Linked DNA regions of Alligator mississippiensis. The protein of the gene in region 1 purifies or fractionates together with the protein of each later gene. This does not show direct contact. Links are inferred from orthologs where the notes say so. Each region holds a gene or a part of one and is shown on either strand. Other genes may lie near its edges.

What was found.
Region 2: the proteins of ZC3H18 (region 1) and FUS purify together in Homo sapiens (affinity purification with mass spectrometry; 3 studies listed by BioGRID and IntAct, with this or other methods). This does not show direct contact. The link is inferred for Alligator mississippiensis from reciprocal best matches to the Homo sapiens genes ZC3H18 and FUS.
Region 3: the proteins of ZC3H18 (region 1) and RBBP6 purify together in Homo sapiens (affinity purification with mass spectrometry; 3 studies listed by BioGRID and IntAct, counting the BioPlex papers as one, with this or other methods). This does not show direct contact. The link is inferred for Alligator mississippiensis from reciprocal best matches to the Homo sapiens genes ZC3H18 and RBBP6.

What each region holds. Positions count from the first base shown.
Region 1 is NC_081833.1:75,181,358-75,191,713, forward strand, and holds the start of ZC3H18 (zinc finger CCCH domain-containing protein 18), read left to right. Parts: upstream 1-5,491; 5' UTR 5,492-5,597; intron 5,598-10,356. Other genes in the region: thyrotropin-releasing hormone receptor, read right to left, coding at 1-20, 810-1,186.
Region 2 is NC_081830.1:430,965-441,722, reverse strand, and holds the start of FUS (RNA-binding protein FUS), read left to right. Parts: upstream 1-6,511; 5' UTR 6,512-6,551; coding exon 6,552-6,564; intron 6,565-6,896; exon of another isoform or gene 6,897-7,264; intron 7,265-7,647; coding exon 7,648-7,672; intron 7,673-8,119; coding exon 8,120-8,274; intron 8,275-8,920; coding exon 8,921-9,062; intron 9,063-9,456; coding exon 9,457-9,665; intron 9,666-9,931; coding exon 9,932-10,115; intron 10,116-10,758. Other genes in the region: BCKDK (3-methyl-2-oxobutanoate dehydrogenase [lipoamide] kinase, mitochondrial), read left to right, coding at 1-147, 240-384; nucleolar protein 3, read right to left, coding at 2,962-3,251, 3,667-3,967. UniProt on the Homo sapiens protein: DNA/RNA-binding protein that plays a role in various cellular processes such as transcription regulation, RNA splicing, RNA transport, DNA repair and damage response. Binds to ssRNA containing the consensus sequence 5'-AGGUAA-3'.
Region 3 is NC_081836.1:58,479,849-58,490,176, forward strand, and holds the start of RBBP6 (E3 ubiquitin-protein ligase RBBP6), read left to right. Parts: upstream 1-6,081; 5' UTR 6,082-6,360; coding exon 6,361-6,526; intron 6,527-10,328. UniProt on the Homo sapiens protein: E3 ubiquitin-protein ligase which promotes ubiquitination of YBX1, leading to its degradation by the proteasome.

The DNA.
Region 1 (10,356 bases):
GGTGGCAGATGGCGATGTACCTGGGTGGGGAGGGCAGGGCCGTGAGCAAAGCAAAGCCCTGATCCTGCTGGCTGCTCTCACTGGGCATGACAGAGCCGTTGGGGTCTATGGAGACCTGTGCCCACCGGAGGGGCAGTGGGGGCTAGTGGTTATGACACCAGCCAGGACACCTTCCCAATACTGCCCCTGATTGACTGACTGCCTCTCTTCCCCTTCTCTCGGTAAGTCTCATTCAGACCTTTGGGGAAAGGGGTGGTTTCTCCCCATGCATTTGGGCAGCCCCTGAAGCCCAGACTGGGTGGCTTGAGAGCACTTACACCAGCATGAGCCTCAGTTTTCGGGCCCACCCAGATCCCCTTGCAGTGCCGGTGCTGCAGCATTCACACCCGATTCACCCACTAGATAAGGTGGGCAATGCCCACAGCAGAGAGCAGGAGGGCTTGATATGGGGAGGAGCGTGTGTGCACTAGCTCTGCACAGGCGTGTTTGTGCATGACCCCCCCCATGCACATCTCCAGAGTGGGGGATAACTAGCTCCCCAGCAGCAGGGTGTTGGCAGGAGCCCACCCCTGGCTTCCCGTTGTGTGGGTCAGGGTGTGTTGATGTCCTGGGAGCTGGGCTGAATGGCTGTTCCTGGAGGTTTTAAGAGCTTGTCTAGCATGGTCCAGATGCAGCCGCCCCTGACTGCAGCTTGCCAGCATTAGCTGGCTGACCAGCAGCTCCCAAGTGCCCGGGGTTGGCATCATAGAGCCAACTGCTCTGGCTGGGTCTGCAAGGGTCGCCACAAAGCAGCTGGCATCCGCTCCTACCTCTCGACGGTGAAGGCGGTGATGGAGCAGGAGGACACGTTGATGCCTAGATACTGGAAGTAGGTGATGCCGAGGCAGCCAGCATGCCCGTACACCCAGGTGCCTGCCAGGCTGTCGGAGATGTTGGGCAGCCCGGCAGCCACCAGCACCATCAGGTCGGCCACTGCCAGGCTCACCAGGTAGCAGTTGGTGGGCGTCTTCATGTCCCGGGTGATGAGCACCACCAGCACCACCATGACGTTGCCCACGATGCCGGCTCCGCAGATGAGCAGCACCAGGAAGACGGAGATGGCCTTGTACTCGAGCAAGGCCAGGCCGGTGTCGGCGCCCGCCAGCGAGATGTTGGTGGGGCTGTCAAGCCTGCTGCTGTTCTCCATCGTCACGGCCTGCTGGGAGCTTGCAGCCGCTTCGGCAGCTGCCAGGAGGGGCTGTGCTGGTTGCCTGTGCCCTGCTCCCCCCGGGTCCCGTGTGCAGGGGTGCCTCAGTGGTGCTGCAAGGAAAGGACCATGTCAGCGACCAGCCTGCCCGTGTTTGCGCTCCCGCAGGGAGCTGCCTCCTCTCTCTCTCCCAAGCTGCTCTGTTGCCCTGTGCTGGGGGTATCCCGGGGATGCATCCCAGGAGGAACCCCAGACAGGGTAGAGTTGGGGCTGGCTGGCTCAGGACTTGGGCAAATCTTGTCTGGGGCTTGAGGTGGGGCTTAGCAAACCTCCCCGTCGGCTGGGAGCCCCGGTGCTTGCTGGCGAGGCCTTGGCAGTGAGTTCGAGGGGCAGTAGCCGGTCATCAGAGCTGCCGGTGCTGAGCTGCCGCAGGGGGCTGGCGGGCGGGGGCTCTCGGCTTCCTCTGTCTCTATTCATCCCAGGCTTATTGCCATGGTGACAGCCCACCCCCCTCCATCCTGCCTGCCTCTCTTCCTCTCTGACACTTGCGGGGTCCGTCTGCTCCCCTCCCCTGCCATTCCCGCCACTGGCCTGGCCTGATCCTGCACAGTGCTGAGCACAGTGAGACCCCAGCATCAGACCTCATAGTGAAGGCATCTGCACAGGGGGCGGTGCCTGGGGGTGGGTGTGGGGTGATGCCTCCTGGACATGGAGTCACCCATGTCGTGGGCATCTACACGTGTGTGCGCCCTGGGTGGGGGGCCCTGTGCTGGCATGGAGCTGCATGCTGGAAATGCTTGTCATTGCACCCAGGCCAGCCCCTCTTGCTGATGTAGGATTACCCCCCTCCCAAGGCCACGGATGTAGCCAGCAGCAGGGTTGGGATGTAGCCAGCAGCTGAGGAGTTTGGAGGTGTCTGGTGATCCGAGTCCCTGGTGAGGGGAGAGCTCGTAGTCCATGTGCTGTGAGAGGCAAGAGCAATGCCATCTGCCTCACAGCAGGAACGTAGCGCTCTCTCCTCCCTTGGCTACCAGATGCCAGAGACCCCCCCAAGCCCACACTTCGGGGCTTGCGTGTGCCCCGCTCCTTAGGTGGAGGTTGAGGTGCTGCCTGGACCCAGGGGCACCCAGGCTGGCCGCGTCACCCCGCGCTAGCTCCCAGTGGGATGCAGGCATGGGGCACAGGGCTCGTCAGACAGATGCAGCTGGAAATCTTGCTGCCAAACCACATAGGTGGCCTCCGGGACGACCCAACTAGGACAAGCAAAAAGATGCACCCCCTTCAAAACCTCCTGCTCCAGCCTGTCTGGAACAAAGACTCTTGCTATTGCCTTGCCTTCCTTCCCGCCAACAGGGAAAGCTCTGATGGAGCCCAATGCAGCACTGCGGGGGGGTGGGTTTCCCTGGCCAGAGCTCGGGGTTTTATTCTGATCTGAAGTGACAGCCACTGTCAGCATCTCACAGCCGGTGTCACCCTCTCCCCAGCTGCACCACGGAGCAGGTCTGTGCATCCCCACAGCCCTGGATGCGTCGCGCAGGCTCTGGCAGCCGACGTCCAGCTGATCTCCCACGAAGGGGAATGGACACAGATTCCCAGAACAGTTCGACGGGCGCAGCTGGAGTCCGGGGAAGGGGGTCTCAGCACATGTCAGACAGCGCACCGGGAATGGAGCGGAGCATGGCCTGACAGCTGGCAGCATCAGGTGCTTTGTCTATCTGCAGCTGCCTGGTTCCTTTGGTCCCTTGCACTGGATCTTAGAAACTCAGGGGAATATCCCCAGCCCTCCCCTCATTCGTCCCCTCCAGCTCCTTGCTCTCTCCTTGCTGCCCCTCTTTGCAAAGTCAGCCCCGCTCCCACCAGCGGCTGAAACACCCACCAAAGAAACTTCCCTGCAGAACTTACTGGGGAAGGCGCCGGACCCCAGAGCAGCCAGGGGACAGAAGCAGGTGGACACGGTGGAGCAGCTGGCATTCCCGAGCTGGTTTCACGCCATCCCTTCCCCACCAGGCAGCAGCCGGGCTCCCTGCCTCTCCCCGTCTGCTCTGCCTGGCTGCTGCGGCTGGCTGCAGATATAAGGGGACTCCTCATCAGCTGATACAGCTCCTCGCTCCTCGCTAACCTATGGGAGCAGAGACTTTGTGCCCACCACCGTGGGGGCTCCTGGGTGTCTCGAGCCCTGCACCCCTCTGTTCATCTCCAGCCATATAATATTAGACTCCTTTGCTTCTAGCTCCAGCCCCACACCTCAGCCCTGGGGCATCCCTGCCTGGCTTGTGGGCCCGCAGCTCAGCGGAGATCCCTGGCTTTGCTGTCCATGCCTTGCAGTCCTGAAAGGAGCAGCCCTGCCTCAAAGGCAGAACTGCCCCATGGGGCACTGGCTTTCTCAAGGCATCACAGCAAACCCCGCTGGAGCCGGGGACTAGTGGGGTCCCTGCCTCCGCAGGAAGACAGGGGTCTCCCCGCTCTCCTCTCCGGCTGCCTGCGAGGCCTTGCGGGCGCATTCATGGGTTTGTGGCTGGCTGCGGAGGAGAAGCCAAAGCAGGTTCTTCAGGCCCAGGTGGGTGGTAATTACAGGGAGCTGACCCAGGCGGCTGCTTCCAGGCCTGTGTTGCTCCCAGGTGGGGGAAGTGTCCTGGGCAAGAGTTTCCCTGCTGCATCTGCAGCTTGCCCAGCTGGGAGCCAATGCAGGTGGAGAGAGGGGAGGGCACAGTCTCCACAGCAGGGACCTGGTGGTGCCCTCCCTGCCAAACCACATCCATTGCCTCCCCACCTGGTCTCCTAAGGGATAGCGGTGGCATGGGCACAAGCCTCCCAGAGCTGCCCTGGCAGGGCTGTGCATGCTGCTGCTGAGGGTCTCCAGCCCCCGTGCTAGTTGGGGTAGCACAGCTCATTGAGCTGCTCCTGGCCTTTGCTAGGGGCTGCCACAGGACAGGGGCAGTCTGGGGCTCACAGTGCTGTGACAACCTTCCCGCTGCAGGTGCAAGAGCATTTGCAGACGTCGTAACCTGGGCTCAGGCATGGCCCAGCAGTGGGGAGCGGATCCCAGCTCTGGCACTGCTGTGCTGAGCCACACCGAGCCCATCATCAATGCACAATCTGCCTCTATCTTCTGTGAGGGTTTGGGGGTGTGGGCGCTGCTAATTAGCGTGTATTTGCATAATGCTAGGGACTGGGAACTGCTTGCTTATTAAGATTAGTGATGTGTTTTTCCCAAGGATGAAGCCAGCCAAACCAAAGCGCAGGGCAGGACAAGACAGCGGCATCTGGCAGCTCAGCCCGTGAACCCAGGTGAATGCTGGCCCCCGGGAACCGCAGGGGAGACCCATGAGCTGCCCCCATGACCGTCCCTGCTTAGGACCGCGCTGGATGGAGCCCCACAGTTGTGGAGATGGGGTGGATCCGCCAGCTGGGGAAGAGGGGAAAGTCCCAGAGGATGGTGCAGCCCCTTGGGTCGTGGCCAGGTGATTCCTGCAAGCCACGAGCAAAGCCCATCCCTGGCATACAGCCTGCACCCGGCCAGGGCAGGAGCGGGTCACCTAGGGCTAATGCCCGCGTGGTTGCAAGGAGCTGAGCCCACTGCAGACATAGGGCATGCCACCGAGCTCAGGCCTGAGATCCACATGACAGACACCCCTGCGCTGCTCTGGGAGGACTGTGATAGAGACGTGGCTAGCTAAGGGACTGACCTCGGGGTCCCTACCCCCCCAGCTGTAGGATTTCCGGTCATTCTGGGGGTGCTTTATAGTCTGGAGGGGGCTGATCCTGCCTCAGGCAGGGGGCTGGACTGGATGCGACCTTGGGGGTCCCCCCTGCTGTCGGATTTGTCACTCTGGGGGTGTCTGGGGTGCTGCGGAGGGGACTGATCCTGCCCCCTGGATATGGATATGACCCCCAGCCCCCCTGCTGTAATAGACAGTCTGGAGGGGGCTGATCCTGCCTCAAGCAGGGGGTTGTCGGGGGAGGGGTCCCCCCTAACCCCACTGCTGTCGGATTTCTGTCACTCTGGGGGTGCCTGGAGGGGGCTGATCCTGCCCCCTGCATATGGATGCGACCTCAAGAGCACCCCCCTTGTAAGATTTGTGCGGCTCATGGAGGGGGGGTGATCACCTGAGAGCCCCAGCACTGAGCCGTGTGGCCCATGGGACACCAGCCCACGTGCCCCGGGGGCGCGGCCCCTTTAAGGCCCGGCCGGGTAGGGGCGGGGGCTGCTCCTCCCTCCTCCCTCCTCCCCCTACCTCTCCCCCTCCCTCTCCCTCTCCCGCCTGCGCGGGCGCGTCGCGTTGCGTCGCGCGCTGATGATGTCACGCCATGGCCGCCCTGCGCCGCCGCCGCCGCGCGTAGAGGCCCCGTCGCGCGCCCAGAGCCGGAGCCGCCGCCCCCGGCCCCCCCGCCGCCCCCTCCCCCCGCACAGGTGAGGAGCGGCCCGGGACGGGGGAGGGGGCGGCAAGCGCGGAGGGGCCCGGGCCCAGCGCGAGGGGCGGGGCCTGGGGACGGGGCTGGGCCCTCATGGGGGGGCGGGCACCCCAGAATGGGGGATGGGGACCAGAGTGGGGGGAGGGGCTGCGGGGTTGGCATCCGTGCAGAGCGGGGGCTGGCGGCCTGGTCCCATTGGGGGGGTGCACCCGTGTGGGGGATGGGCTTGGGTGCACCGGAGTGGGGGAGGGGTGGGGCCCAGTGATGGGTGCACCACAGTGGGGGGGATGGTCCCATGGGGGGGGTACAGCAGAGTGGGGGGGTCCCATTGAGTATACTTTGGGATGGTCCCATGGGGGGTGCACTAGAGGGGGGGGTCCCATTGAGTATACTGGGGGGATGGTCCCATGGGGGGTGCACTAGAGGGGGGGGTCCCATTGAGTACACTGAGGGGATGGTCCCATGGGGGGGTGCACTGGGGGGATGGTCCCATGGGGGGTGCACTAGAGGGGGGGTCCCATTGAGTACACTGGGGGGATGGTCCCATGGGGGGGTACACCCATGTGGGGGGTGGGCTTGGGTGCCTCAGAGTGGGGGAGGGGCTGGGCCCAATGGCGGCAGGGGCCTGCTGGGCATAGCAGCGTGGGGGAGGGGCTGGGGGCCGGTGGCCAGACACCAGGAGAAGGGGGTGAGGGGCTGGCTCCCACAGAGGTTGTGGGGCGGGGGGTGGGCGCAGGGGAGCCGCGTCCAGACGTGCTCGTGAGTTTTGTGGAGGAGCGTGGGAAGAAGGTCCCCATGTCCAGCTCCCAGGGGTGCCGCCATCACCCGGAGCGGCGCGTCCCAGCCCCACGTCGCCCTGTGCCAGCCGGGCCGTCTCCTGCTCCCCGAGGCTCCCTGCAGGAGCTGCCATCGCAGCCTCTGCCCCGAGCAGGATCCGCGCGCTTTGCCCTTAGTGCTGTGCTGCCGAATTACCCGCCATCATTGTTCCAGGGAGGATTTTCCTGCCGTGGTTCCAGTGCGTTAGGATCAGTAACCCCCCAAATATTCCCCATGAATCAACAGCAGAGCCGAAGAGAGCTGAACTCTCGCTCCCGAGCACCTCCAGGTTTGTTTGGACCCGGGACAGAGATCAAAATCTTTTCCTGATCTAAACAAATCCTTGGCTGACTTGAATGCTTAACTCTGCTGCCTAATTATTCATGCATGTGTGCTGAATGCCTTAAAAATGTGTTTATTCCCAGTAGCAGACTGGTATCCCATAGGGAACAGCTAGTGGAAGAGATTGACTTGCCCCAGCAGCGGTAAGTTGTGACGTTTGAACTCCAGCACTGGAGCTGTTCAGTCTCTAATCCACCAGAGAAGGCAGGGAACTGTGTCCCCTCGTTGGGCTGGAGTTAGGGTTTCGGAAAGTGCGACTTGGGGGATGTGGGAAGCTGGCTTTGGAAGTGGCTATCACAAGGGAGTGCTGTAGGACTAGTGCTGAAGAGAGCTTCGTGCAGCCTTTGAGAGGCTTTCTTGATGCCTCCCCACTAGTTTGACAAATCCAAGTCGCCCCTCACCCGCACACACGTACATCTTCTAAACCGTACTTTCTCTAAGGGAGCAGGGCAGGTATGTATTTGATTTTATTGACTTTGTCAGCTACCTGACAGGTTTTCAGGGATGTGTTTGGTAGCTGTGTTGGTCTGAGACAAAAAGAAATGCAAAAATCTAGAACTCTTGGTTCAGAGAGATGATGCCTTTTATCAGACCAACTAAGAAATCGCAAAAAAAAAAAATTGGTCTTGTTCTGCAAGCTTTTGGGCTCACATGCCGTTCATCAGGGAAAATTAAAGATGGTAAAATGTCCCCTAGGTAGGAAATAAAACTTCATTTTTGCACAGTGGGAAGCTGGAGATGGAGGTCTGTCCTTCTGGGTCCATGAGTGTTGCAGGTTTTCAGGCCTTTAACTATACCCCTCAGCTTTTGTTCTGCCTACCTTCTTGGCTTTCATCTGAATCTTTTCTTCCTCTTCTTAGATCCCACTGTCTCTTTTTTTTCTGAGCCATATTTAGCGTCTCTTTTTCTGTTCTGTTCCTTTATATTTTTTCTTTCCCTAGCTCCTCACCTCTGTTTGTCTCCTGTCTTCCTGTCCATCTCCCCAAGTCACTCATCATCCTGCTCTTTGTCTAACCTATCCCATTAGTGTTTCTCTTTTGATGTTTTTCCCTACATCTGCCCACTGGCCCTCACCCACCCATATACATAGGTTGGCCAAAAGGAATTGCCAGGTACTAGATATCCCATGGACTACCAGAAACAGACTCACATAAAAGATAATGACAGGGCAAAGATCAGATTAGAGAAGTCAGCTTTTCTCTGCTGTTTGCAAAGGAAAAGGTGCTGCAGTTCACTGTACAGCTGCAACTGGATGCTGCTCAGGAGCTCTGCTGTGGACTGTTTTTGTGTTGGCCTCTGGCTACTACGTGTCTGATGTATGTGAAACCCTTTCATCACCTCCAGCTCTCTTTGACAGCTGAAAGGGAGAGGGAATGCTTTCAGGAAGAAAGCCTCCTGCTGGCTGCTGAGCCAGTCTGTAAGAGTCTCTCGCGATGTCGTATCTGCTCTGACTAGAGGTCTTTTCCAATCTGTTCCTCACTCTGTTCCTGAAGTCCTGTTATGAGGTTTTCTTCGCAGGGCTGCTACTGTTGCTCTCACCTTTCTGCAACTATCCATCTTGCCGATGACTCATGGAACTTCAAAGTATTTTCTGTTCCAGCTCTGGCCAACTTTTCACTTTCTGCTCTTTAGGAAAGCACTGAGCAGTCACTGAAGTACTAGAGCCACCTGAAGGAGACTCTTACTTCATTGGTTTTTGCTCTGATCAGGGTTTTGAGATTCTCTTTGCTAGTATACTGGCTGAACCATTTTTTTTTTTTTAATGACAGGAGGTTCTGCAGCAATTGTTGGAACTTGATAGAGCTTTTCCAGTAGTCCTGTCTTTCTCAAACCCTTGCTTAAGTAGCAGCATCTAAAGGACAAAGCCACTTTCAGCGTGGTTACAGAAAGTATTCTTGAGGTTTGATGACAACGAGTTAACCTGTGTTCATAATGTTGGAGTGATGTTATAGCCCTGATGGTCCAGGAAGTATGCCAAAGGCAAAAAGTTTTTGTGAGTGATGCCTTTTATTGGACAAACTGCGTGGTTAGGATAGAGCTGGAGAAGCTCTCAATTGCAAGGCATTTCTTCATCACCTCCTTAACGTACTTTCACCTCTAGTTCCTTGGACCCACTGCTACCAGGCTGTCTTCAGCAACAGGTCAATTCACTGTTGTTGTAGACAAAGGTTAAATTTCCATAGGTTTAACTGGATGTGCTGCTTAAACTGTTGTGCCTTTCAGCCAGTTTTTATCAGAAAGCAGCAGAGCTTTAATTCAGCAGGCTGAGAGTGATAGCTATAGATTTTCTGATTAGCGCAGCTTGTCTGACTAAATTGCATGTGTGTCTAGCTATTAAGACATCACTATTAAAATAGGATACATTCCACTATGGGAATCCTTTGCACAACTTCTGTAGATTTTACTGGGAACAACATAGCAGCCGGGGGCAGAATTTAGCTCTGTTGCCTAGAACAGGCCTTGTCAAGGGCCGAAAACATTAACTCTACTCAATTCCATCACTTTCATTTTATGTCCAAGCCATTTCCCATCCTTATCTGTTAGTCCCTGCTTTAACAGAGAGTAGGAACTGGGCATGGTCCTGAATGCAGGACCTGCAGCCAAGATTTCCAGAGTATGCATCCAAGCTCTGACTCTCCTGCTCTTGCCTTGGGTAAGTTGCATTAAGAAAGCAGTGGATTCAAAATCTTATTCCAGAAAGTAAGTCCTCGCAACACTTAGCTGAATGCTGGATTAATGAAATGGCCATTTTAAAATCTCCACTAGCCACTTGGGGTTTTTCTTACTGCCTTTAGCTTTACTATACCTTCTTTCATGCTCTTGTCCAGTGCTGTATTTCTTTGTTGGTAAAACAGTGCAGGACAATATTTTTGTTAGAAGAAACAAATAATAATCTCTTTCTGTATATATTGAAGGTGAGTATTTTGCATAGCATTTGGTTGGTATAAACACTTTTTATTGAACATCAGCAATGTATGTATAAACCGTGAGAATAACATAAACTAGGTTTGTATAAACTGAGAAAAGTGGGGCAATGGAATAGACTGCATAGGGAAGTTGTGGACTCGTGATCATTGAAAGACTCTCCATCAAGGAGAGGCATATCAGCCACTGGTTGGGGATGATGGAGACGTAGCTGTGCCTATTTTCTACTTTGGGTCTTTCCCGTGCTTCTGAGCTTTGCTGGTTGTTCCCGCCCCCGTTCCCTCCCACTGCCTCTTTTTCCTGTTATGTGCGTCAGGGTGTTTTTTAGCCTCCCCAGAGAAATTGGCTGTTGGCTACAGCTAGGGCTGGGGACTTCAACTGAGGTATGCCAATTTTACAGGAGCAAAGCCAGAGTTTTATGGCTAGAGGGTCTTGCCCCTCTGCTCAGGGTCAGACTGATGCCATGGTCAGAGTGGCACAGACTTTGTGGGTTTTTTGCCTTCCCTTGTTGCAGGGGGCTCGGTCCTCTACCCAGAACCTTTTGACTATATATTGAGAACATTTTATAGAAGCAGGACATTGGCTGCCGTGGTTCCCTTGCTTTACCTGTGGTAGGTTAAGTCTATGTTGTGTCAGGGTTGAGGGTAATCTGATGTAGAGTTTGGACTGGGGTT
Region 2 (10,758 bases), on another chromosome or scaffold:
CGGGGGCATCCCCCACGACCTGGTGGAGCGCGTGACCGACTACCACTTCACCACGGCCGAGAGCAGCGCCCAGGACCCGCGGCTCTGCGGCCTCTTCAGCAACATGGTGGACATGTCCAACAGCGGGCAGTCGGGGCCCATGCATGGGTGAGTTCCCAGCGGCCTTTGCGCCGGCCCCCCCCCCCCCCCCCCGGGGAGAGTCCAGGTGTCCGGGCCTGTTCTCACCCCTGCCCCCGCAGGTTCGGGTTCGGGCTGCCGACGTCGCGGGCCTACGCCGAGTACCTGGGGGGGTCCCTGTGCCTCCAGTCCTTGCAGGGCATCGGCACCGACGTCTACCTGCGCCTGCGCCACATCGACGGCAGGGAGGAGAGCTTCCGCATCTAGGGTCGCCGCCTGCCTGGCTTCCCTCCCGCTCCGCTCGGGGCGCGCTTGGCAGCCTCGGAGGCCTTGGCCGGGGCCTGGGAGGTCACTTCCCGGGTGGAGGACCCCACTTCCTGTGCGGGGGAGCCTCACGTCCTGCCTGGAGTGGCCCTGCTTCCTGCCCTGGTTGAGCCCTCGTTTCCTGTTTGCGTACCCCCGGTTCCTGTGGGGGGCGCCTCCCTTCCTCTCTGGAGCACCCCACTTCGTCCTCGTGCACACCCCTTGTTTCCTCGTCTGCCTATCCCGCACTTCCTGCCTGGCGGGCCTGTGTTTCCCGGCCTGGTCGACCACTTCCTGTCTGTGGACACCCCACCTCTTGTCCTGGTTGACCCCTGTCCCCACTTCCTGTCATAGCCAACCCCCACTTCCTGCCTGGAGGACCTGTATTTCCTGTCCTGCTCAACCACTTCCTGTCCCAGTCTTTCGTTCTTCCCTCCCCCATGCACACTTGCTTCCTGTCTCCCCCCCCCGTTTTTTCCCCCCCACTTCTTGTCCTCATCACCACTCCCCATCAACTGAGCGGACCCCCCCAGGACGGCAGTGGGGGGATGGCTTCGGATGACCCGCGTGGCCCTGCCCCTCTGGTAGGGTGGGGAAGACTTTGATCTTCGCACATGTCCTGCCCCCACCCCCCATGGACTATATTTGGGATTCTCCCAGGTGGCTTTGCGGCGGGGAGAGGATCGGATTCCCGTTGGACTCGTTGTATTTCACTACCATTATTAAACATGCAAATTTGGACAGGCCTTGGTGGACTGCAGGGGTCGGGGTCGGTACCACAGTGCCAAGTGGAGGCCGAGAGGGGTGCTCACTTCCTTCCCAGGAGAGTTGTCTTGGCTGCGGAGTGAAGAACGAGGAGCTGCTAACGACCCTCTCTCCTAAATGATCTCATTCCAGGATGTTGCTCTCCACTGGCTGTTCTCTCCCCTCCCATATCCCAGCCTCAAGTCATGGCTCCGCCCACAGAAATCGGGCTCCTGCAGCAACTAGCGCTTCAGCTTTAGTTGAGCAGGGACGGGGAAGGAAGCGTGAACACAGGAGCTGGCCCATGGGGCTAAACCCTGGAAAAGCCTTGTTGGGAGAGGCGGGGAGAGGAAGAAACAAGGTGCCCGCGTTGTATGCGAGGTAATACAGGATCTCCCCAGAGCTCTGCAATCAGGTCTGAGGGGAGAAGGCTCCTAATTACCATAACGACCTCCAAACAGTTAAGGATAAAGAACACCCCTCCTACTTCATACAGGCGGGGTGGGGATTTACCATATTGCTGTGTATATAACGCATCTAGGGTCCCTTTGACAAATTGGCTTATATGCTAATTATGCCATTAGTTTTGAGTACATAATGTTCTCTCCCCGCTGCTTTTCCCTGTAAGTGGGGGCATGTCCACCTGCCTTTGGCCTGCTCAATTTAAAGGGAAAGGAACCTTTTGGGTTTTGTCCCCTTTTCCACAGCGTGGGCATGTGCCACATCAGAGGGTGCGTGATAGGCGGCTAAATACGGTATGTTGCAGTGATCAGGTTCTGTTCATCCAAGATGCAGGCTGGATTTAGCCCCCTCCCCTGATCTGTCTCCGTAACCTCATTGGCCTGCTTGCTACCTCATTTTCCACTGGTAGGATGTCAATTACCTTATTTATTGGCATATAACTCTCACCTGCCCCCCCCCCACTGAAAATGGGGGTCTCCAGCTGGCTCGGGACAGTACGATTTAAAGGGGAAAATCATTTTGATTAGTCTTCCCCAAATGGCGGGGCGGGTTTCATCTGAGAGCGGTGGTAGTCGCACGAATACGGTGCGCTGGGAGCAAGTTACGTCAGCGTCCTGTACGCAGGCCGAGGTCACCACTGGGAAGTGGGCAAGTGAAAGGTCTCCTCCCCTCGTTAACCTCACCCCCGCGGCTGCTGCTTTGCATCACGCTCATATAGTGCCCGTTACTGTATTAATGCCTATTATCACAGTAATTGGTACGCATGCTCACATTTTTCTCTTTACCCTCTGCCTGGTCTCTCTCGTTTACCTCCTTGGTCCTGAAGCCTGGTCCAGCTGCTGCTCTGTTACGCCGCTACCATGGCAGTGCCCGTGTTTATTGGGGTACAATGTCACTTACCACACTTACTGGTATACAACATTCCCTTTTTTATCCCTTTCTAGGACTGTCTCGTCTCCCTCCTCCCCCTCATTGGTTTGAACCGCCTAAATCCTGGTCTGGCTGCTACTTTTTGTTACACTCATGTAATGCCAGTTACCAAATGTATTGGTGTATAATGTCGGCTACCGTATTTATTAGTATACAACATGCTTTCCCCCCACTCATGACTCTCATTTCCCTTATTCATGCCACCATTGGCTTGAATGGCCTTACTCCTGGTCTGGCTGCTGCTTTGTGTTATGCTCAGATAATGCCAGTTACTGTATTTATTGGTATACAACACTCACTTTTTTCCTCCCTCTCTACAACTGTCACGTCTCCCTCATTCATCTCCTTGTTTAAATGTTCTAGATGCTTTGATTTTTGTTGTTGATTTTTCTTTTGGGGGGGGTGTTAATCGGTGTCTGAATATGTTTCCTCTGGCTCTGGCTCTGGCTCTGGCTCTGGTTCTTCTGGGCTTCCGCCCTCCTCTTCCTCCGGGTCCGGGGCTGTGTCTGCTTCCCCCTCAGCCCCTTCCCCTTCCTCCTGGGGATCCCCCTCATTGTCTTCCTCCCCCTCCTTGTCTCTTGGCGTTTCTTCTTCCTGCTCTCCTGCTCCTGCAGCTGGTTCGGGGTGGACACAGTCCCTCTCCTGGCGCTCAGAGAATCGCGATGGCTGCGCGTCTCGTTCGGGGTTGTAGAAATCTAGCCAGGCAGGGAGAAACGCAATTAATTAATTAAAAAGCAGAGGAGGGAACAGAATAACGGGAACAATGAGCTGTGTTTTACTGTGTTTTCTAGTGCACAACCCGCCTATTTTTCTCCCCACTATACCACAACGCTAATCTCCCATCTCCGTTTCCTTTTGCTTTGCGTGCTGGTCTTGGCACGTTGATGAGGGGACAGATATTCTGCCACTTCCCCATCCAGTCGAGGGAGAGGAGCTTGGTGGTTCCTGGGTAGAGCTTTTTATAAAGAAAACCAAAGCAAAGAAGAAATGTAGGTGGTTTGGAGGTGGCGGGGAGGTTAAACATGGCAACAGGGGTGGTGCGAGCTCAAATCCAAGCCTACGCTGTGCTGTGTTGCATGCAGGAAAACATGGTGAAGGGGCACAGCTTACCGTAGAGCGAGGGCCGGGGAAGCGGCGGGTGCAGCAAGGCCTGAACGGAGCCTGGGAAGAGGGCGTCCACCTGCTCCAGGAGGGCCCGGCAAGCCGCCTCCCCCTTCTTCTGAATGCAAATGAGCAGCTTCCTGACCTTGGGCCCTGCCCCCGGCGTCTGGTTGAGGGCGTCGTATTCGTCCTCACTGAGGAGCGACTGGGCCACCAGCTCGTCCAGGGTGTTCTCGGGATCGCGCCCGATGATGTCCACGAGCTCCTGGCGGTGGTCGCGGACGGCGGCGTAGCTGCTGCCAGCCGCCATTGCCGGGCTCTGCCGTAGCTTCTAGCGTACGACGCGTCTCCCCTTTAAATCACGCATGTGGCTCATTTGGGAAGAGGCAGAAAAAAGAGTTCCCACCCCCCAGCACCTCTGAGCCCAACCATTCAGCCTTTTCCTTTCAGCCGTGCCCCTCCCAAAAGCGGCAAGGGGAGGCACCTTACTTACTCACCTACCACGCGCCTCTTTCCCCCCAAAACTCAGGGAATGGAGCTGGAAATGGATGCTGGAGAGTGCAGTGACATGGGAAACTTCCCCCCACCCTCCTTTCCCAATGAAGATGTGGGCTGCAGTGACAGGCATGTGATACATGAATAAATATGATCGTTTGCTGTCCGTGTCTCCCCTTTTTTAAGCGGTTTAGAAGTTGTATCCGAAGCCAAAGAAATACGATGGGTGAATTAGTCAGGCCTGTATTCTTCCAAAGGCTGGAGGGCCGTAGCCACCCCTACTTCGGCATGCTCTAGCTTCTGTATTTTCTAGCGCACAACAGGCCCCTTTGCTCGCCTCTGGGAGACAGGTGTGCATTACACGTCAGAAAATACGGTAACGCCCAGGCTGCACTGCAGGGATCAAGGCAGGAGAGTTTCTCTGTGGGGCAAAAAAATCAGCTTTCCTGCTTGATATGCACCCTCCAAACTTGTGGGGGCTGAGTTGGGGGCAGGGATCGCATGTTATATGCATGAAAATGCGGTAATAACACAGCTGCCGCAATGGGGATGACAGCAAGGGGGCTTCCCTCTGGGGCAAGAAACCAGATTCCCCCCTCGTGCACCCCGCCTCAAAATATGGGGGGGCAGGCACGTGCACGCTATACATGGGAAAATATGGTAATGCCAGAGCTGTTGCCTTATGGGAGGTGGTTCAAAGCAGCAGCTGGTCCTTGCCCTGGGGCAATACCCAGCTGCCCCCTACCCCAAATGTGGGGGGTGATTTCTGGGAGGGGGCAATAGCAGCACGGGCTAGGTTTCTACTGTATCTTCCCGCATAAAAGTGCCCTCTCCCTGGTTCCTTGTAGGCCTGATCCCTGGGGGGGGGGTCAGTTTCTCCCCATCAGCTGGGCGGGGGTGGGGGGAAGGAGGAGTCCCCCGTGCCCCTATTTCCCCTGCCCCATCCCCCCCCATCAGGCCAAGGGGGTGATGGGAAGAAGGCCCAACCTGCAGCTGAGTCACGCAGGCAGCGCAGCGCAGCGCAGCGCGTCCCGTCCCCTGTGCCCCCCGCCTGTCCCGTCCTGGGGGAGGCGCCGGGCTGGCCCATGTGGGGGGCGGGGGGGGTGCACTATTTGTGTCCTGGAGAAGCTGAAGGGGAGGGGGGAGCGGTTACCATACTTGCTTGTGTATAATACTCCCCTTGATGACAAAATAATCTGCTGCCTTGCAGAAGGGCCTCACAGCAGATGAGCGTGGCATGGAGAGGCACCCCCCCCCCGGGCTCCCCCCCTACGCTCCACACAACCCCGCCCAAGCCCAGGCGTCCAGGCTGCCCGCCCCACTGTCCGGGAGATGGGGGGTAGGTGGGGGGGGATGTGGGGGGTGGCAAGGACCATTGGGCTCCCTGTTGCCAAGGCAACGGCCCAGCTGGTTTAAGCCGGTCCAGACTGGTGAGCCTGGTGTTCCAGGGGAGGAAACCATTGAGCAGGCGTGCGGGGGGGACGGACAGCAAGGCCTGTGGGCCCAGAGCGCGACCCAGGCGTCCAGGCCACCCACCCACGCGCGTGCACACACACCTCCGGTGTCGTGGCATCGCACACACACACAGATCCCAGGCGTATAACCTGTGTGCATGTACATGCATGCGTGCACGCACAAAACCCAGGTGTCCGGGCCGTGTGCGTGCATGCACCCACACCCACACACAGCCCCCCCCCGAACTTGCAAAACAATTCCTCTTTCGCGTACACACACGTGTGCATGCACAAACAAGAGTCCCCAGGTATCCAGGACACACACACACACACCCCCCAGGCATCCAACACGCGCACGCACACACACCCTGTCCACAAAGGCCCCATCTCTCTCACCCCCTTCCGCATCCTGCACAACCCCCTTTCCACCCGTACCCCCCATTGCACACCCAAGTACACACACCAATTACACCCCCACTGTGCATCCATTTACACTGCTGCACACCCACTCGTATATACCAGTTCACACCCCAGCGCACACACCATTTACACCCCCATTGCAAGCCCCCAGCCAGCTGCAGCTTACACCCCCCCACTTCTCCCACATGGTTCCTTCCCCCCTCCCCCCCACCGCCATGAGCTCATCCCTCCCCCCCACCGCAGCCCCGCGGACTGTACCATTCCTCCTCCCGCGGGGAGGGGCAGGAAGAGCAGCACCCTCCCCTTTCAGAGCACGACAGCAACACCGGGGAGGGGGGCAATCCGCACGCGGGGGGGGGGAGCGAGGGCTCAGGGGAAATGGGGCGGGGGGAGACGAAGCTGTGCTGCGCTCCCCCCTTTCTGCGGATGGTAGCGGCCGGGGGCGGGGCGGGACGGGGCGGGTATATCAAGGCCGGGGGCGGGGGCGGGCGCGCAGTGCGGTGCGGGGCAGCGCGGAGGGAGGACATGGCGTCTAACGGTGAGGGCTAGGCTGCTTTTCGGGGTGCAACGTAGGCGCTGCAATTAAGTCATACAATGGTGGGGAGGCCACGGGGGTGGCAGTGACGTCGTGCAGTGCTCGGGGCTACGCATGGACTGTAATGTGAGGACTTCCGGGGGGCAGCGAGGTCGCGTGCTGGCTTAAGAGGGCAATCGTGCAGTGGCGATAGCGGGGGCCGCGGTTACGTCATGCGAGGGGTTGGTGGGGGGTGAGGGACGTCCAGGGGAGCTCTAGGGGGTGGAGTGATGTCACGAGTCGGGGCATGTCGTGACCTCATGTAGGGGGCGGGGGGGCCCCTGGGGTGCACTTACCTCACGGAGCAGGGGTGGGTTGGGATGACGTCACAACGGGCGGGGGGGCCTGCCACGACGTCATACAAAGGGTTGGGGGTACCTCGGCAAGCCCACCGGAGCGCGACCTGGCGCAAAGCTTTGTGGGGGTGCAAGCTAGTGTTCCTCCGTTTCTGGCCCCCGGCCGTGCTGGAGGAAAGCCAGCGCCCGCCATTTTCCGGGCGGGCGGGGCCCGGCGGTTCCCTTTATCCAGCTGCGCCATTGGGCACCATTTTGTGTGCCAAGATGGCGGCGGCCGCCGTCCCCGCGTGGGCCGGAGGGAGCCGGCTGCGCATGCGCGCCGGAGGGGGGCGCGGGATTTGCGTGGTGGCGCCTGCGCAGTGCGGGAGCGTCCGGGGCGGGCCGGCGTGTGCGCAACGGGCCGCTGCGGCGCCCTGGGGTTAGTGCGCATGCGCAGTCGCGGCAACTCCGACCGCTCTTGCTTCCCCCCCACGTGCGTCCCTGGGCGGAAGGACACCCGCGCGCGTCCGCGGATGCTGCGGGGGAGGGGGGAGCAGGCACAGCCGTGAATCCCAGGGTTGTCTCGGTACCGTAGCAAGTGCTGCCTTCCTGCCTTCCTTGGGGTGACATGACTCCTGCTACCCCCCTCCCCCGCTACAGGCACTGTCCCTTGTGCCGGGGTGTGGGGCCGCCATGCCCACACTGACGGGGGGGGGCGAGCTTAGGCTTTGGGGTCCTAACGGTTTCTCTCGCTTTTCTCCCCGTCTTGCAGATTATTCCCAGCCGGCGACACAGAGGTAATGGCACCCCCCCCCCCCCCGCCGGCCCTCGTGGCAAGCCTGGGCGCAGGCCCTCGCCTTCCCTGTCCACCCAGTGCCCCATTTCCCAGTCAGACCAGTGGGCCTGTTCTCTTAGTGTCTGGTTTTCCCAGTCCCATCAGAGTTGCATCCTATCCAGCGTCCCATCTTCCCAGTCAAACCGGTGGCCAGTCCTGTCTTATGTCCTGGCCGAACAGGGCATCCCGTCCTGGGTGTCGCCCTCCCAGTCCAACTCGCCCCTGTGTCCCCCCAGTCCAGCCAGTGGCCCGTCTCCTCCTGTACCCCCCCCCCCCCCCCCGGTCCAGCCAGTGGCCCGTCTCCCCCCCCCCCCCCCCCCCCCCGGTCCAACCAGCAGGCCCACTTCTGGCGGGTGCCCGCACCCAGGGGCTAGGAGGATCTCACGTCCCCGGGCGTCCTCTCTTGCAGCTACGGGGCCTACCCCACTCCGCCGGGGCAGGGCTACTCGCAGCAGGCCAGCCAGCCCTACAGCCAGCAGAGCTACAGCGGGTACGGGCAGTCGGGGGACACCTCGGGCTACGGCCAGAACAGCTACAGCTCCTCCTACGGCCAGACGCAGAGCAGTACGTCTTCGTGTGCCGCCCCCTCCCCCACAGCCTGCCTACCTCCTACGTTCACTTTCCAGCCCTGCCTTGCACATTTGCTGTATTCTCTTTTTCCCAGCCTGCCTTGTATATACATCTCCCTTCCTGGCCTGCCTATATCTACATGTTCCCCTCCCCCCAGCTGCCCTGAGCTCATGCGTGGATGCATGCATGAGATATGTACACATGTGAATGCACATGTGGGTATTACGTATGGACATACGCGTGCCTGTTTCAGCTGGTCCGTAAGGTTCAACTCTTCTTTTTTAATTTATTCTCCTCTGCGGCAAGAGAGGCTCACCTCAGCCACGGCAGAGCAGCAGCTCTCTGGTTTTGCTCCTTTGGCAAGTCACCCCCAGCTTTGTTTTTTGGCAGCGTTTGATCTCGCTTGTGGCAGCCTCGTTAAAGCATCAGGTCTACATCCTCCTTGCCGGTGGCGCTCTCCTGAATGCTTCTTGAGCAGCTTCTGTCTATTAAATTGGCTCTCATAATTTTTGTCTTACGCGTTGGGGAAACTGAGGTGTAAAGGAGTGCCAGTCCATAAGGGCAGCAGATATTGGGGTGGGCGGTTTGTTCACTTTTGGGGTACAGGTGTTGAAAGAGGTCTGTGTTCTCCCCCTGCCAGGTTATAGTACTCCGTCAACGCCACAAGGCTACGGGACGTCAACAGGGTACGGGAGCAGCCAGACATCACAGAGCTCCTATGGGCAGCCGTCCTCCTACCCTGGCTACTCGCAGCAGCCAGCAGCCAGCTCTTCCAGTGGAAGGTATCTGTGGGAAACCCAGGCCCCTTGCTCTCACCAGCACCCGCTCACCTCCCCTCCTGGAGAGCCAGGTGTCTGGGTCCCCAATTCCCTGTAATCTAGCCCAGCAGCACGCGGTCCTTGCCTAGAGAACCTCATCCTGCAGCTGTCACTGCATCTCGGGCTCCTCCCAGGGTTTCTTAGCTCTGAACACTACACCCCCTCGCATCCCCTCCCAGAAAACCCAGGTGTCCAGGCTCCCATTCCCCTCTGTTCTCACCTACGAGACCATGTGCAATTTGCAGAGAACTTGGGCATCTGGGTCCCCAGTCCCTGTGTGCCCCCCTCCCAGGCCAGGAACCCAAGTGTCTCTCAGATCCCCTGCCTACAGCCCCATGTCTTTTCCCTCTTGCCCCAGCTATGGCAGCAGCTCCCAGAGCAGCGGTTATGGGCAGCCCCAGAGCGGCGGCAGCAGCAGTGGGGGCAGCGGCTACGGCCAGCAGTCCAGCTACAGCAGCCAGCAGCAGAGTTCCTATGGGCAGCCGTCATCCTACAACTCTTCTCAGGGCTATGGCCAGCAGAGCCAATACAGCAGCAGTGGTGGCGGAGGTGGCAGCAGCAGTGGCTGTGAGTCCTTGGGGGGGGGCAGTTCGGAGGGGGGGTTGCTATTAAATGGCTTTCCTTTCCCCCAGTTGTGGGGATGGGGGAGAACCCAGGTATCCAGGAGCCTGTGGACCCCTTTGCTTCTATAGAGTTAGGGGTAGACCCCAGGAGTCCTGGCTCTTGGCTGTAAACCAACACCCCCCCCCCCCGATGTAGAGGTAGTCCAGAGGTGGGAAGAACCCAGGTGTCTGGGCCCCCCACACTGAGCTGTCCCCCTTTTTCTCCTGCAGCCGGCAGCTATGGCCAGGACCAGTCCATGAGTGGTGGTGGTGGTGGTGGCAGCTACAACAACCAGGACCAGGGCAGCTATGGTGGAGGCCAGCAAGACCGTAGCCGTGGGCGCGGGGGCTATGGCCGCGGCGGCTTTGATCGAGGTGGCCGAGGCAGCCGGGGAGGCCGCGGTGGAGGCATGGGGTAGGTGTCCACATGCTCCTGGTGGGACAGGGATCATGCAACAGCCTTGTTCGGCCTAGGTGGGGAAACACAGTTGCTTCCACCCCCCTCCCCCATCCCTGCCACTAGTCCTGATTTCTTTTTAAAGCTGGAGAGAAACTAGCTCAGAAGTTGTCCCACGCTTTCAAAAGGCACTGACTTCATAGCTGGACTGCCATTTTTATGGTGTGCTGATGACTTTGCACGTGTGCCCAGCCTAACTTTTACTGCTTGACTCGCCACTGGATGGCGTGATACATGTAACTGTGGGGCAGGGGCCCACCCCGGGACCCCTCTGTGTCCTTGGGAACATGCTCGGAGGTGTGAATCACAAGTGCCTGATTGCATTCTGCTGCTATGCTATAGATTGTAAATTTCGGTGCTTTTCCCATCATATATCACTTATATTAAGGTGGTTTTCCCATTACATACCACAGATTATGGTTGGTCTGCCATTATATGCCTTAAATTAAGGTGGTTCTTTAACGACGTATTTCAAATTTATGGTGGTTTTCCCAATATATACTTTTATTAACATGGTTTCCCTGTTACGTAGCTTAAATTTGTGGTTTGCCAATTGATAGACCTTAAATTGCAGTGGCTGTACCGTTTGTATGCCTTGTAT
Region 3 (10,328 bases), on another chromosome or scaffold:
CTTTAAGGAACTTGCAAGCTAATGGCTTGTGGCCCCACAGTTTATAAGCCATGTCAGAGTTAAAAGGATCAGTGACACACACACTCAGTAAAAGGTGTTTCTGTTGGGATGATTATTCCCATATATTTACAGAAATAAGCTGTTTCCTAAATGATGCAGGTAAATTGGCAAGTGGTACTTCAAGTAGTATGTAGTTCCCTTGGCAGCTTGTAATGATGTCTATAAACCAAGCAGCAGACTGATAAAACACCTCTTCTGCACCTATTCTTACTTTTCTTTCTCTTTCCTGACCAATCTGCAAATACAAAACAAAAACCTGGGACAAGTTCCCTTTTAGGTTGCCATGTGCAACTTAGACAATTTGCCACTGAAAGTGATAAAAGCAATCTTGATACCAGTGGGTGCACACAGAACTTGAAAGGAGAAACACTCTTAATGAGCATCATTCAAACAACCTTGACACAGCCCTGCTCTTTGTATAACCATTTCAGAGCACAATCCAACTTCCATTGAAAACCCAGAGAGCGCTCGCTTTGATTGTACTGAGGGGTCTCTCTACATGGTTGTTTAAATCATTAAAAGAAGCTTTAAACAAACATTTGGCAAATCAATGGTTTGCTATTTACCGTCCTTTTTTCTCCTCTGTGTGTGTGAGTGTGTGCGTGCGCACATGTGTCAGATCATGGATTCCTGGAAGACTGTTATGCTTATACTGGATCTGATAAAACATCACACGACCTATTGCATAATTACAGCGCATTTCATAATCCCTACAGTGCTCTGGAAATTGTGGAAGATCAGTTCATTTTGTGAATCTGTGCATTGTATCATGGATCAGAAGCTTTAAAAAGTTTGCATGGGTAAGAGCAAGGAACAAATATTTTGGAGTGTACGTCTAAGTGACTTAGAAACACAAATACACTAAAATCCATAGGACTTGTGTTTTAGTCATTTTTGTATATCCCACTCTTTGCATGTTTCTGAGTGAAAGAAATAGGTAAGGTTCATTTAGCCCTTGCTATTGTGGGGAGTGTTTTGTTGCAGAAGTACGGTGCTGCTCACATAGAATACTTTTGTTTAATGGTGTGTGAGATAAAGGTGATATAGGAATTGTTTATATAGCCTCACTTGGATTTTGATACTTTTCAATTCTATATAATGATATATATATATCTATATCTATCTATACGTTGAATGATATATATAAAATCAGTCGTCCTTTTCTTTTAAATGTGTATAGCAATCTTAACTGTATGTTAACATTTTTTAACTTCCTTTTTTTAAAGTATTTTAAAATGTTGTGTTTCTAATGCCACTGCAGACTGTCAGAGTTGCAATGGAAAAGCATTGACTGAATAATAATAATAATAATACATAGATATCAAAGATCTTATAAAAATCTATATACATTATAATCTGCATATAAGCTCCAAACTACCTACCCTACAGTTCATGACATCCATAAAGATCATTTGTCATTTGAAGTCTCAGAGGTCCAAAGTTTTGTTATTTAAAATGTTGATGGCAAATTTATTTTTCTTTAGGCCCATTTGCAATCAAACCCATTTCTTAACAAATGCATTTGTTCACAGGTGGACTTATCTACATCACTGTCTACTCAGAAGATTACCCTTGCAACCATTTGTAACCAGAAAGGCTAGAAAACTAATATTAAAAAAACCCAAAAAACAACCCTATGTTTTGCAAAATTCAAATCCTGTGTTCATAAATGCACTTGCTGCACAACTGCTGCATAACTTTAAAATGCTGTAATATTTTTAAATTTATTTTTTAATCCGGCAATTACTGAAAAATAATGATGGCATTCACGATAGGGTGTTTAAAAATTAATGTATACAATTACGTACATTTTGATCTTCTACCATAAACTACTGTATAGAGAAAGTGGCCACGAAATAATCTTGGGGATTATTTTTTTCTAATGTGAAAACTATATATTTGTCATTAGTTCATTCTTTGTAAACAGTTCTTACCATATAGGCCTTAAAGGTTACACTAGTAACATAACACCGAGCAATAGTTCCTTCCCAAAAATAAAAAAAAAGGTATAATTGGACACTACCCAGTATATGGACTTAAAATTGCAACCAGGAACTCCACAATCCTTAAAATATGAGAGCTATTTTCTATTTTCTTTCCTGTTTTATTTTCTCTGCTTCTGTGTCTATACAGATATATATATCTCTATATATATAGATATATATATATATAGTCTTCCTAGTTGCTTCTTAAATAGTGCTTCATTTCTCCATTTTCATTGCTTTGTTTCTGTTCTTTTCACTTTATCCCCAGCACATTACTTAAAAAAGAAAATATATCCAACCTACATATCTGAAAGTCACATTTGTTTGTTCTGGTAAATGACCAATGTATATCATGAATATTTGGGATGATGATTAGCTCTCTGTCTATGGTCATTAGTGATGACTTTGGAAATTCATTCATTCATTCATTCAAGTTTTTACGGGATGTTTGGAGATGCAATTTGCCTGTTCTGGGCCAAGAAATAATACAATTAACTTCTTTTGACAATCCGGTCATCTGTATCCAGCCTACAAGTGATACTGGCACACTCCCAAGAGCTAATCCCTGTAACCTAGTTCTTTCCCAGTATTTGTTATCTTATTACTTTGTAAGAAAATCACTTGTATTCAGTAGCAGAGTACTTTTCAGAACAGGGGAATAGCAGCCTGCAAATCGTTTTTCCCAAGTATCTTTTGACAAACTTGTGCATCCTGACCATTTCTTCATTCTGCCCCTCTTCTGAGCATCTAACACAGGGGTGGGCAATTATTTTGGGTGGAGGGCTGCTTACTGAGTTTTGCCAAGCCATCAAGGGCTGCATGACAGGCAGCCAGGGGCAGATAAATATTAATTTTCTAAATTTTTAGGGGCCCCGCGGGCTGGATAGCATGGCTTGGGAGGCCGCTTCCGGCCCATGGGCCACATTTTGTCCACCCCTGATCTAACAGAAACCTAAAGAACATTGCTCTGTTTGACACGTATCTAAATTACAAAATAGTTAAAGCCCACTTCCAAGAACAACAGAACTGTCCATAGGAATTTTTGCCAAAATCTGAATGCATTTCTAAGAGATGTCAACAGGAAGAGTGGCCAAAATGAGTAGGTTGTGTTCAGAGTTCATGGCCTACCTCTGTGATACAGACTGTCTGTTTCCCACCAGTATCGCCTGTCCAGCTCGCTGACAGGGAACATGGTGAGCTGGGTTCGTCTGCAGTCTAGTAGAAGGCAGGGAAGAGCAACCTGAGTGCAGATAAATTGGTGTTTTCACCACGGGACATGGTACCATGGCTTCCTACCTATCCTAAAGGTGCACCCATTGCTCCCATCCAAAGAGATCAGCTGGTACAACCAATGCTGGGATTGTCTTCAATGAAAAAGCCTTGTGTGAACCCTTGCAGGCTCAAGAAAGGGCCTTTAAGAGATTGTATTTAAACACATGGACACAGGTGGAAATTGGGATTTTTCTTAAGTAGAAGCTGACACCTTCAATACTGCGCCCGGTTTTGGTCCCCACCCATCAAAAAAGATATAGAATTAGAGAAGGTCCAGAGAAGCGCACCAAGGGTGATCAATGGTGTGGAGGGGTTTCCATATGGGGACAGACTAAAGGATCACAGACTCATAGAAAATTCAGGTTGAAGGGATGTCAGGAGGCCGCATCTAGTCCGACCCCCTGCTCCAAGCAGGACCAGCCCCAACTACATCTTCCCTGACAGGGCTTTGTGTACTCAGGTCTTCAAAACCCCCAAGGCTGGAGACTGCACCACCTCTCTGAGGAGCCTGTCCCAGTGCTTCACCACCCTCCTCATGAGACAGTTTTTCCTAATATCCAACCTCAACTTCCCTTGCTGCAGCTTGAGCCCATTGCTCCTTGTCTTGCCACCTGCCCCCACTGAGACCAGCCCAGCTCCATCCTCTTTGCAGCCCCCCTGCAGGGAGGTGAAGGCTGCTATTCAATCCCCCTCCATCTTCTCTTCTGCAGACTCAATCAGCCCAGTTCCCTCAGCCTCTCCTCACCAGTCCTGTCCCCCAGCCCCACAACCATCTTCGTTGCCCTCCGCTGGACTCTCTCCAATGTGTCCACATCCTTTCTGCAGTGGGGGTCCACAGCTGGACACAGGCCTCCAGATGTGGCCTCCCCAGTGCTGAATAGAGGGGAAGAATCACTGCCCTCGATTTGCTGGCAATGCTCCTACCGATGCAGCCCGGGATGCTGGGGAAGTATTTAGTATTTTGCAAACTTCTCATGTCCCCCCTTGAGCGTCGCATCTAAATGGACCAAACCTGGCCTCTTTACAGTGGACGATAAGATGAATATGCATCAACAGCATGTCCTTGTTGCCAAGAAGGCTAACATAGGGATTTATTATTTGCTCTCTCGCAATACGAGAACGAAGGGTCACACCATGAAACTAGTAGGCAGTACATTTAAAACTAAGACAAGGAAGTTCTTTAATGACCAGTGGGTCATTAAAGGGCAGAACTCCCTTGGCTGAGATGATGGAGTTGGAGCTGGTCCTGCTTGGAGCAGGGGTTGGGCTAGGCGTGACCTCCTGATCCAATGCATTCGTGGCCACCAGATATGGTGCAAGCCGACAGCGTAGCCAGATTCACCAAGGGACTGGACTCGTGCTTGGGGGCAACGGGCATCAGCAGCTACGGAGCATGGGAACGAGGGGCATGGCCTCTGCATCAGAAGTGCCTGGACCTTAAATGCTGGAGGTTGCAAGGGAGAGAAGGAAAACCCTGGTCAGACCCATTCACTCCCTCCTTCAGCCTCCACTCTCTGCCGCTGTGTGACGCTGGACACTGGGCACACCGGACCTAGGCTCTGGCGCCCTAAATAACAGCCGGTCTTATGTGCTGACGAAGAGAGAGCGCGTGTGAGAAAAGAAATGCAAGAATCTATAACTCTTGGTTCAGAGATGATACCTTTTATTAGACCTACTAAAAAAAATCGCCCCAAAAATTGTCTTTTTCTGCAAACTTTCGGGCTCACGCGCCCTTCATCCAGCTCAGGGAGAATTAAAGATGGTAAAAAGTCTGCATTGGCGAGGAAAAAAAGCAGACGAGGTTGTCTGGGCAAAGTGGTCTCTTTTATTAGACCAACTACAGTTGGGAAAATTGTTCTTTGCCAACTTCGGGGCACAAACAGCGTTGCCTGTCTGCAGCCATTCGGGGCTGGCCCCGACTTCCTCCTACGAATGAATGAACGATCTATGACTCGTTACACCAGCGCTTCCCAAACGTGTCCTCAGCACGACCCCCTTGAGGCCCGTTTCCCTGTGTCCCGGCCCGCAGCCCCCCACGTGCTGATGTTGGGACCCCTTTGGGCAGCACTGCCAACTCCGCGGGCGACCGGGGCCTCCTGCAAAAGCTGGCGTCGGCATCGGCGGCGGGGCCAGGGCTGGCGGGCACCCCGAGAAGCTGGCATCAGCGCCCGCAGTGGGGTACGGCCCTGTTGGGGGGGCACATGCCCCCTTCCCAGTCGCCTATGGCCAGCTGTCATGGTTTTTGGCGTTGTTCTTGAAGTCAGGAGCGTGAAAAACGCATGGAAATAGAGATAAAAGAAAGAGCTAAGGTTTTCACGTTCCCCACTCGTAGACATTAAAAGCAAGACCCCCAAATCATGAGTTGGCGACGCCGCCACAGCTTGGGGGCCGCTGCCTCGGACTCAGGAGGCGGTGAGCAACACCTGTGTGGGGAAGTGAACGGCTCTGCCAGCTCGCCCACCTCGGTGCGGGTCCCTGGCTGAGGCACAGAGGGGCACAAGGGGTCACCATGGGCACTGAGGGGACGACATGGGCACTGAGGGGACATAGGCACAACATGGGCACTGAGGGCGGTCCCAGGCTGTAGCCCCGCCTCCGCCCCCCCCACGTGTCACGTGACCCTGAGCGGGCGGGCGGGCGCCTTTGTCATAATGCGCCGGGTCACGTGGGGCGGGGGGCGTGGCGCGCTGTGACGCCTGCGCAGTGCGGCCGCTGCCCCGGCCCCTGCGGTTCCTGGTCGGGAAACCCCGCGCGGGGCCGCTGAGGCAGGCAGCCGCCATCGCGACGGGCCGGGCCTAGCCCCGGCGGCCCTCGCCTCGCCTCGTCTCGCCGCGCCTCGCGCCCGCACGGAGCAGCGCCGCCCGGCCCGGCCCGGCCCGGCCCCCCGCGCCGCCATGGAGCCTGCGGCGCCCGCGAGCACCGTAGCGGAGCGCCGCGGCCTGTGAGGCCCGGCCCGGCCCGGCCCGCCCCGCCCCAGCGCAGCCCGGCAGGCCGCTCGCGCCCGTCCCGCGGCCCGGGCCGCGTGCCCCCCGCCGGCGCGGCCATGTCCTGCGTGCACTACAAGTTCTCGTCCAAGCTGAACTATGACACGGTCACCTTCGACGGGCTCCACATCTCCCTGTGCGACCTCAAGCGCCAGATCATGGGCCGCGAGAAGCTCAAGGCGGCCGACTGCGACCTGCAGATCACCAACGCGCAGACCAAAGAAGGTGCGAGGGGAGGGGGGGGAGGAGCAGGCGGCCCCCCCCACCCTGGTGTGCCCCCCCCACCAATCCTGGTGTGTCCCCCCCCAATCCTGGTACAGCCCCCCCCCCAGTCCTGGTGCATCCCCATCCATCCCCCCAGACCCTGATGCCCCCCCCAATTCTGTTGTGTCCCCATCCCTCCTGTGTCCCCCCCCATCCTGGTGCATCCCCGTCCATCCCCATCCTGGTGCCCCCCCCCAGATCCTGGTGTGTCCCCCAAACTTGGGGGGGTACCAACCCCCCCTGCAGTCACATGGGGTACGTGGAGCTAAGAGGAGCCAACCAAGTACAAATGTTGTGTGGAGGAGTGCCGTCATCTTCACGGTAGCCACCCCTTGAACACCGTCATGGAGGGTGGTAAAGATTTCGAGGAGTACTTGCATGTGCTGTGGCAAGTCTTCTTGCTGATGAAAGTGTTGGTTACCACCAATATTTACAGCTTTCCTGGTTCTGAAGCCAGCAGAAAAATATGCGTGGAGGTTTTACAGGGCTAACTCCACACATTTTTTTGGTTTTGGGGGGGTCGGGGCGGGGGGGGGGGGGGAGGAAAAGAGGTTGAACCATATATTTGTAATGAAACAAGGAGTGACTTAGTCTGAAATGTGTGCTCTTTGTTCTAGTTTTATTTAATGGTAGGTTAGTTTTGTGTCTGTTGTGAGATTAGAAATGGTTATTGGGAGGTAGGAGTGAGACGCGGTGGGACGGTGGTCGTAGTGCCACTTCTTACATCTGGAGCAGACACTTTTTTTTTAAAGCCGTACTGTTCATATAACCACTAAAACAGTCTTTCAGGAGACTTGTTTGCATATGTGGACATGTCTGGGAGTTTCTGGTTAATGCAGATCATTTTCGTTTCTTCATCAAAGACCAAACATTCCTGGTCATTCACAGACTCTTTCAACTTCAGCTGGCAAACGGTCCAAAAAGAAGTCGATTGCTTCCCTGCAAACTAGTAGTACCAAGGAGTATACCACCAAGGAGGGTATTTGAATCTTAATATATTCAGCACAGTTCATATGACTCACACACACATCAGAAGTCTCTGAAAATACCTTTAATTGTGTCATGTGAATAGGGCTGATCAGTCATCAGGATTATTACTATTTCCTAAACAGAATATAAATTGAATCGACCAGTTGTATGGTTATGGATTAAAATTAGAATTAAAAATAGAATTAAAATTAACTTCCAAAAACTTTAGAAAGTGTCTTATTTTGTAATATTCTCATGTATTCAGTATTTTTCTTTTAAAAGAAATGCTGTCAATTTTAAATGACAATCAAAGTATTCAGGTATTGTGTCTTTCTGTGTCTACCTTCCTGCTTTTTTGGAATTTTTTTAAAGGCATTTGCCTTTTTTTATACCTTTTGCTGTGTGTTTATGCACAGGATACTCGGCTGGGGGGGGGTGTTGAAAAAAGGGGGGTGGAAATTACAGACAAGAAAATATGTCCTAATTCATCAAAGGCAGAGCTAAGATATTACTTGCATGTAGGTAAACATTTGTTAAGGAAATCAAATTTTAAAGATGATATGGCATTTTAAAGGTTAAGGTTTAGGGGCTGCCAGTGATGACACCGTCTCCCTACATATAGCTAAATGTTCATAATGCTGAACAAAACTAGGAGAGGTTTCTTTGCAGGCAGAATAACATTTACAGCGCGCAGTAGTAATTGGAATAATTTACAGCTAAAGTATACATGCTATAGTGCTTCATTTAAAGGGCTTCCCTGCACAAGAAAATTTTAAATGTCTCTAACTAGTATTAATGCTCTTCTAACAGTTATTGGGACCCTAATGTAAATGGCCAGGTGGCAAGGCTCACTATTTTAAGCACCTAGTGTCAAGAGTAGTATCTAGTTGAGAACAGCATCAGAATTAGCAACACTGAAAGGGAAGAACCTGAGCTGTTAACAGAAGAAAACTTACGGAAATAATTCAGTGCAGTAGCAAGAACATAGGAGTATTTCTAAAATTATAATCGCAGGCTAAGGGAGCAAGGAGCATATAGAACTAATCAAGTTCCATCAATATTAATCTTTTCCTCTGGGTTCTGTTTGGCTACAGTCTGACTTTTGTCAGATATTTAATAAATAAAAATTTTAATTACTGTAGAACTGAGCGTTTGTTGTTTGTCTATGTGGTTATTCAATCAAGAATTGAAGTAGATGTTACAAAGTGCAAAAAGTGATGTTTCTTCAAGACTATATGAAGTAATTGGTTTGTTTATAAAATACTTTATTAATCCATGTCCCACTCCCTGAATTTTGATTGTCTGCCTTTACTGCTCAGACATGGTAAGGTAAGGTAATGGATTGTGGGGGGGGCAGGAAAGAAGAAAAATCTATAATGAATTTGCCACCCTATAGTAAATTTTCATTTTGTTTTTATTTGACTGTACTTAATAAATACTCTAGTGTACTTTAATATTATACAAGCCAAAAATAAAGGGCTTTTCTGCACCTTCTTGTACTTGAGAAGGCACAATACCCAGGGAAACCTGGAGGAAAAATGCAGTTTCAAATTTGCTTTTTTGACCTTTATGGAAGAAGTGAGATTTTAAGAGTGATATGGATGAGTTATAATGGTGGCTTAGAGAACTAAAGTTAATGGTAAAAGATAATGTGATAAGTCATGGCACTTGGTGATTACAGCTTCTTGCTCAGGCAAGATTGGTAGAGGAATAGATGGGATTTGAGATGTAGCCGCGCCCCCCACCCGTGCAGAAGTTAGGGCAGGGTGCCCCTTGGGCCGTTTATAGACCGGGGGGGGAGTTCAATTAATGAGAGCCACTCTAATTAAAGCATCCGCAGTGTCACATCTATTGGCATCCCCACGCTGAAAAATGGCAGCGGAGGCACTTTAACTCTTTTTACAGCAATCCAGCAATTTTAATGTTTCGTGTTAGAAATGGAACACCTTGTTTTATACTGTGTATAAGCAGTATAAAGCAGTACTTGTACATTTATTGACGTGTGAACTTTGCAGTGAAAAACTTTATGCACATACGTAATTCCATTACCTTTTTCATTTCAATGAATAATATCTTTTAGGTAGTTTTGTTGGCAGCTTTCAAAAATGAAACTGTCAAGCAGTTTCATAGCTTGCTTTTCTTTGCCATGTGCTGTATAAGCTTTGGTACTTACATGGTGAGGATAAACAACGTCAGTGTTCTGCCTGATCTAGTAGGCAGTTTGTGTTAGGCTGGTTTAAACGAGGTAAGAAGTGCTTCACTTTGTGGCCTTCTCTATACTGGAGACTTGCGGAACTGGCTGTTATGCTTCTCGAGTCAGATGATGGATTTCAAATTCAACACTGAACATTTGTAGTATGCCTTGCATTCTTCTAGTATTAGCCAAGCTGTTCTAATTTTTTATTGCTTTTTGAAGCAACAGTTTTAGTGAGACTTGAAAAGATGGTTGATGCACTTTGGGAAGCGAGCGAGAAAACTGCTTGAATTGATTTAGCTAGTCTTCATGCACACCATGACTAAAACAGTTCAGCCAGAACTGATAGTGTCAAATAATACTTAGTCCTGCTGAAGTGTAATTTATTTGTCACGCTCACTTGTGGATGCAAAGTGTTACAACTGGTTCTAGGAAACTAGCAATGATTAGCTGACTAAATATGCCTGAGGTGTGCAAGTTTATCAAAGATTGTTCTCATGCTCAACCCCACTACTCCTACACAGGAAAAAATGTAAGATCTATTTCTTAAAGGTGACTATAGGTGCAGTAAATCTTTACATTTTGCAGCTTTGTGGCTTG